Linked DNA regions of Saccharomyces cerevisiae S288C. The protein of the gene in region 2 purifies or fractionates together with the protein of the main gene of each other region. This does not show direct contact. Each region holds a gene or a part of one and is shown on either strand. Other genes may lie near its edges.

Region 1 (4,086 bases), on a different chromosome or scaffold from region 2:
TAAATAGTTTAGAGTTTTTAAATATTCAGAAAAATTCTACGTTATCCGAAATAAGAGACATTGAAGTTGAAGTTGAGAATCTGAGACAAAAGAAAGAGAAACTGTTGGGTAAAATTGCGAACATAGAGCAAAATCAATTACTATTGGAAGACAACCTCAAACAGATTGATGATAGGTTGGACTTTTTAGAAGAGTACGGATTGGAGGTGATCGAAGCTAATAGCGACGAAAATGCAGAAGATGATGGTATGAGTGAGCGAAAGGCCCTTAAAAATGATGCTATAAGAAATGAGGGTGTCACCACAGAGAGCATATCATCAGAGGCTTCTAATCTACCTCCAAGGAGAAGGCAACAACTTCGAGACGATAACTCATTGAATAGATTAGGTGCCTTTTATAGCAAATCCAAAAAAAGACACAGAAAAAGCTTCCCAACATTCCAGCAGCTTTACGAGCCAGGAACAAAAATTGGCTCTATAATGTCCACTCACGATGATTTCCTCACTTGCCTAGATTTTGATGCGCCCTTTGGTACCTTATGTACAGCCGGATATCTTGATCACACGGTAAAAATTTGGGATTTATCCAAACAAAACAAAATTGGAGAACTAGCAGGACATCTTGCTACAATTAATTGTATGCAAATCAATCGTGACTACGGAACTCTTGTTACTGGTGGTAGAGATGCGGCTTTAAAATTATGGAATTTGAATTTAGCTCAACAACTTTACCAGGAAACGCAAAATCTTACCTCTCCTACAAATCATATTGATTCTCCATGTGTTCATACATTTGAGGCGCATACAGATGAGGTTACTGCATTATCATTAGATCCTAGTTTCTTGGTGAGTGGTTCACAGGATAGAACAATTAGGCAATGGGACTTACGTTCCGGGAAGTGCTTGCAAACCATTGATCTGAGCTTTGCAAATGTCTTAACAACATCCACTAATGTCGATTTATCAAAGAGCACACTTCTTACTCAAAGAAATGAGAGGCCTAGTATAGGTGCACTACAAAGTTTTGATGCAGCGCTAGCAACGGGTACAAAAGATGGTGTTGTAAGGCTATGGGATTTAAGATCCGGAAAGGTGATTCGTACTTTGAAAGGGCATACAGATGCCATAACGTCATTAAAATTTGATTCCGCGTGCCTGGTCACAGGTTCATACGACAGAACAGTTAGAATCTGGGACTTAAGAACTGGGTTGTTGAATAAGTTTCATGCGTACAGTGCGCCAGTTCTTTCGTTAGATCTCTTCCAAGAGAACGCTGCAGTCGTTGTCGCAGACGAACCAAGTGTCCAGATATACGATAGCGAAAAGGATGAAAGCTGGTCTTGCGTCGAACAAGGTAACGAGACTAGCGTTAGTACCGTTAAGTATAAAGAAAATTACATGGTTGAGGGTCGTGAAAATGGGGACGTAAATATTTGGGCCGTATGATAGGCATTGCATTGCAATCAAGTCAACCCATTTGAAGAAAAATAAATATCGAGTGCATATGTGAATAGCTGCTCGCTCAGATATATATAAATAAATATTCGTTCTGGAATGTAAATAAAGTATCGTCAATACCTTGGATGGTTTATCAGCGAAATCGGTGCTGTAGATGTTGCCCTGTCATATTACTACAGATGTCTTGGAAGCAATCACCATACCTGCATTATCCTTACCCGGAAAAAGAAAACTTTCGTGAATAATGATTAATATTTAAGTGGCGACTTTTTCATCCTTGCTATTGAAAAAAAAAAAAATGAATAATTGTTATTAAGCGTTAGCAGATGCCAAATTGTCGAAATGATTTCAAATACAGAGAATTAGCCGCAAATATTAAGTAGTACCTGAATCACGAGACATACAACTCGGAAAAATGAACTTTGGAAGCCAAACACCTACAATTGTGGTTCTAAAAGAGGGAACAGACGCATCTCAAGGTAAAGGTCAAATCATCTCTAATATCAATGCCTGTGTTGCAGTCCAAGAGGCATTGAAACCAACTTTAGGTCCCTTAGGTTCTGATATTTTAATTGTGACATCGAATCAAAAGACTACTATTTCTAACGATGGTGCCACGATCCTAAAATTATTAGATGTAGTACATCCTGCTGCCAAAACTTTAGTGGATATTTCTAGAGCTCAGGATGCCGAGGTGGGTGATGGTACAACTAGTGTAACCATTTTAGCTGGTGAGTTAATGAAAGAAGCCAAGCCCTTTTTGGAAGAAGGCATTTCATCTCATTTGATTATGAAGGGCTACAGAAAGGCCGTTTCTTTAGCTGTGGAGAAGATTAACGAATTAGCTGTGGATATTACTTCAGAGAAAAGCAGTGGCAGAGAATTACTTGAACGCTGTGCTAGAACTGCAATGTCGTCGAAATTGATTCATAATAATGCAGATTTTTTTGTTAAAATGTGTGTTGACGCCGTGCTATCCCTTGATAGAAACGATTTGGATGACAAATTAATAGGTATTAAAAAAATTCCAGGTGGTGCTATGGAAGAATCTCTTTTCATCAACGGTGTCGCCTTTAAGAAGACATTTTCGTATGCTGGATTTGAACAGCAACCCAAAAAGTTCAACAATCCTAAAATTTTAAGTTTGAATGTAGAACTGGAGTTGAAAGCAGAGAAAGACAATGCTGAAGTACGTGTAGAACATGTTGAAGATTACCAAGCTATTGTAGATGCGGAGTGGCAATTAATCTTTGAAAAGCTAAGACAAGTGGAAGAAACAGGTGCCAATATTGTACTATCAAAGTTACCTATCGGCGATTTGGCTACTCAATTTTTTGCTGATAGAAATATTTTCTGCGCTGGTAGAGTGAGCGCAGATGATATGAATCGTGTCATCCAAGCTGTTGGAGGCTCTATACAATCTACTACTTCAGATATAAAACCAGAGCATTTGGGTACTTGTGCTTTGTTTGAGGAAATGCAAATCGGGTCAGAACGCTACAATTTATTCCAAGGTTGCCCACAAGCTAAAACATGTACATTATTATTAAGAGGAGGTGCTGAGCAAGTTATTGCCGAGGTTGAGAGATCATTGCACGATGCAATCATGATAGTTAAGAGAGCGTTACAAAATAAACTGATCGTTGCTGGTGGTGGTGCTACAGAAATGGAAGTATCAAAATGCTTGAGAGATTATTCAAAAACCATAGCTGGTAAGCAACAAATGATAATCAATGCCTTCGCTAAGGCTTTAGAAGTTATTCCAAGGCAACTCTGTGAAAATGCTGGGTTTGATGCTATAGAAATATTAAACAAACTAAGATTGGCTCACAGCAAAGGTGAGAAATGGTATGGTGTTGTCTTTGAAACAGAAAATATTGGCGATAATTTTGCCAAATTCGTATGGGAACCTGCTTTAGTAAAAATCAATGCTTTGAACAGTGCCACAGAGGCTACTAACTTGATTTTATCTGTTGACGAGACGATCACTAATAAAGGTAGTGAAAGTGCCAATGCTGGCATGATGCCTCCCCAAGGGGCTGGAAGAGGGAGAGGTATGCCAATGTAATTAACACTCTAAAAAACATGTGCTGCATACATTTTATTATTACTCTTTTTGCAGTAGTTATTTGCATCAAAGGTAATTTCTTTCAATCATAAATAAGTTAATACTGTATTGATAAAACCTTATTCTTTTCTTTTGTATACTCTGTATCTTAAAGTAATTCTAGGTCTAAAGAAAAATGAAAGAAGTAATGAAAACTCCGAGAAACAAATCATATCATTGGTCGTCATCCGGGTTGGATGTCATGCAGCTGCATTCCATTTCTTCGGCAAAATGTACGTAATATTCGATTAGAACCCTGTTTTGCAACTGATTATGCTACTATGTATTTATATATGCATACATATGATGATATTATATTTGAAAAATGATGCTGATTTTTTTGAAAAAAAGATCTATCCTCCTTTATTCCCTTCTTGTTTTACTGTCCTTTGCAAACGTTCCTCAAGAGCTCGACATTTCCCGTCTAATTCATTGATATGTCTCCTATATAAATCTGTAACAAGTTCTAACTCATTTATTCTAGTTTTGAGCTTTATAATTTCTTCTTCTTTGTGCAATTTA
Region 2 (3,677 bases):
GAGAATGGAATCCACAGACGACAAAAGCTGTAGATAGTAGTAATAATGCATCGAATACAGTGCCTTCGCCAATCAAACAAGAGGAAGGCTTGAATTCTACAGTGGCAGAAAGGGAAGAAACTCCAGCGCCTACAATAACAGAAAAAGATATCATCGAGGCTATTGGTGATGGCAAAGTCAATATCAAAGAGTTTGGAAAGTTCATCAGAAGAAAATATCCTGGCGCAGAGAATAAAAAGCTAATGTTTGCCATTGTAAAAAAATTGTGTCGAAAGGTTGGCAATGACCACATGGAATTAAAGAAAGAGTAGGTTAGTTTATAATGTTATGTACTTAATAGGTTATTTAGTTTTCGTTCTTTTCATTCTTTCCTTTTTCTTTCCATTTAATCTTATGTAGTTACATTATACTGTCATTTTAGTTGCAGTAAGTATACTTTTTTATCTAGTCTTTTTTTCTGCCTTTTTTTTGAGAAAAGACTCAGAATTCTACTAAACTCTAATATATTGTTATTTCTGTATTATACAATTCTATGCTATGTGAACTGTCCTTGAAAGTGACCTAGGCCACTTCGACAATTTCATCTTCTTCGTCGTCATCTTCTTCTTCTTCACTCTCCTCCTCTTCTTCCTCTTCCGCATTCTTTGATGGCATCTCTTCCACTGCTCCCGCACCTGGCTCGCCTCTCATTAACATATTAACAATTCTGTAACATAATTCACCAATATCTTCATTCTCAACGTTTTTATGCAGCTCCCTCACTAGTGGATAAACGGACTTGTCTCTTAAGTATTCTCTTCCAGCATGCGTTGTACATAGCAAAAGAATACTTTCTAAATGACAGCATATAATTGCAGGAATCGGGTCTCTTTCCTTGTCCTCTGGTAATAATTGAAGTTCATCTGGTAAATTGAACATATCTTCCTCATCAATTTCAGAATCTTTAGCACTAGCAATAGGTAGCAGGATGTAAGGCAACAAGTTTATTTTTTCATCTTTGAGTAACCTTTCATGAGTTTCAGAATCAAATAGGGAATTTTTAATTGTGGAAGCGACACCTTCTCTTCTTACCTTTGCATCATATTTTTCGGTAAATACTAGCAATTTTGAAATAGGAACAACCCCATCGTATTCCTGCTCTTCAATAAAATACATCCTGCCCAATTTAAACCTCGAGATATCCGCAAAAAAAAAGGCTAAATAATTGAAACTGGCATATTTTGTTAATTTTTTATCATAACCCTTAACAAAGCAATCCATTAAACAATCCATGGCTCTCAAACTTTTGAAAACTTCTTTATTTAAAGCTGCTAACTTCAAACCATCATCGACCTCCTCACCGCTTGAATTCCTTTTGATATTCAGAACAGCAAGAATGCCGTCATCCTTGGCTAAGTTGCTTAATAAGATACACATTATATCGGCATTTGGATTGGTTAAATCGACAATTTTCCAAACCAAAAATTTTAAGAACTTCTTGTCATCGCTCAATATAATATTTCTTACTAACTTGTCTTCAGATAAATTGACCAATATAGTGACACCTTGCTGAATAATAACACGGGTGCCGTGTTCTGGATCCATGATCATTTTTATTATATCCTTAATGGGTCTGTAGCTATCATTTTTGAAAACTTTTGAAGTGGGACCAGCACTAAATCCAACTAGATTATCAATGGCAATCTGTCTTACGGCAGGTTGTGGTGAATGCAGAAATTCCACTAATTCATTCAATTGTGAAGTCATCACTCAATTTTTTGTTGATTTTTTTGAGCTATTTTTAATTTTTAAATTAAATTGATACCGTTTTAAGAAGAATAAACTTGTCGTTATTAGAGTAGGTGCGTCATAAATTGATGGATGAGATGAGAGAGCTCAATATGAAAAAATGAAAAAAAAAAAAATTTGAAAAAGCCCTTCGAGGAAGAATAGGGAAAAATCTACAATAATAATTATCGTCTGGGGTGATAACAGAACACATCGAAAGGTAGCACTACCAGTAACATCCCAATTGGCTCTGCAGCTATTAGATGAAATATACTGCGAATTGCGAATCAAGACATCTATTTTTTATTCTTGTTAGTTTTCGCGGTAACAAGTGGAGCAATTGCTACATACTCGATGTATGAAGAGCTTCAGTAAAATAATATCATAACATTATCGCCATTTTTTTGGTACTTGTTTTTCCATAAGTGACAGATGTCAAGATTAAAAAAGAATATATTTACTCAACCTGAGAACCTGCTAGTTTTATATTACCTTTTATATATTAATGTTACAATTGGCTCTACCTGAAGTTGTGTTGTCATTGCTATGGAATCTGGCAGGACACCAAAAAGTCACCTATGCGGGAGATGAAGGCATATTTATTCACTAAAATCTCCTTGACGGTTTCCCCTTATATTGAAAATGTGATAACTCCTCTTCAATGCTTAGAATTACGTTTCTTAAGTGATTTTCTGCGTGCTGTTCCAGATGGCTTTCTATCAAATTCCTTATTTCAACAATCTTTTCAGTCATCGGCAAAGCTTGATTGGAAGCTTGACCGCTATTTAACAGTAAATCAAATATAACGCCCCATATTTCTTTTTTCCAATACCTTTTGAATGGGTTCTTCAATTTGCATCGTCCATTCTGCAGCTGGATTGTTTCTATGAATTTTCCAAAAAGCATCGAATGTATGACGCCTGCTAATCCATAATAATCCGCTTCATAACTCCATGGCTTGCCCGCACGCATTTCCCAGCAATCTTGCTGATCAGCCTTCCAATTTGATTTGAATTTCGTTCCAGGTGGTAACAGTGTCATATCAAATGATCTACCGAAATCTATTAAATAGATTCCCTTGTTTTCCCAGCCATCCTCTCCATTGCGCATATAATGAGCACCCAGGGGTTCGCCTGGTTTTTCTAATCTGATCATGCAGTTATCTGGTTTCAAATCGCCATGTATTATTCCCACTTCATGTATCTTTTCAAGTACTTTCATTAGCTCGACAGTGATAAACATGCACAAATATTCATCCATTATTCCGTTGCCGTCAATTGCCTTTTCCCGTTGTAAATTAATTAAATCCAAGACCGTACCTTGACTGGCGTAGTTTAAAACAAGGTAGCTCTCATCAAGGAACAAGTGTAAAGCACTAGCGTTGATTATTGACTTTAATATTGTGCTCTTCCTCAACCTAAACTCCACTTGGCTCATTATGTAATATTCCCATACACTTGCAGGTTTTTCTACTTTCAACGCTCGCAGATGTCCTTGACTAGATTCTGCTAGATATACAGTGGCATAACCTCCTTCGCCTAATTCTCCGCGTATACAATATAAATCACCCGTCTTCTTGAAGTCAACAATTGGGTTCTTGTTTTCGTTGCGGGATACCCTATGGATTTTTTTCAATAGAGAACTCATTTTCAATTCTTGGTTGTAGTTATAAAAGGTGTTATATTGGAATAATGGGGGCGAAATTTCGGATAAAAACTTCGCTCTTAAATTATTACTAAGTGGGTTTTCAATAATGACAGGCGGTTGATTTTTTATTTTAGTGAAGGGAGGTATGATCGTTGGGTAATGCTCTTTACTCTTTTCCGAATGTTCTGCAGTTTGTAAAAGCTTTTCTGCTTGTGGTTCAGGTTGTGTGAGAAATGGAGAACTTTGAATGGTTGTGCTTGTTA

The links. The genes of interacting proteins can lie anywhere in the genome.
Region 1: the proteins of HGH1 (region 2) and CCT7 purify together in Saccharomyces cerevisiae (affinity purification with mass spectrometry, with the first as the bait; 2 studies listed by BioGRID). This does not show direct contact.

What each region holds. Positions count from the first base shown.
Region 1 is NC_001142.9:206,005-210,090, forward strand, and holds CCT7 (chaperonin-containing T-complex subunit CCT7), read left to right. Parts: upstream 1-1,872; coding exon 1,873-3,525; downstream 3,526-4,086. Other genes in the region: MDV1 (Mdv1p), read left to right, coding at 1-1,445; GZF3 (Gzf3p), read right to left, coding at 3,918-4,086. UniProt on the Saccharomyces cerevisiae protein: Molecular chaperone; assists the folding of proteins upon ATP hydrolysis. Known to play a role, in vitro, in the folding of actin and tubulin. In yeast may play a role in mitotic spindle formation.
Region 2 is NC_001139.9:869,671-873,347, forward strand, and holds HGH1 (Hgh1p), read right to left. Parts: upstream 1,747-3,677; coding exon 562-1,746; downstream 1-561. Other genes in the region: transcription factor IIF subunit TFG1, read left to right, coding at 1-311; protein kinase BUB1, read right to left, coding at 2,374-3,677.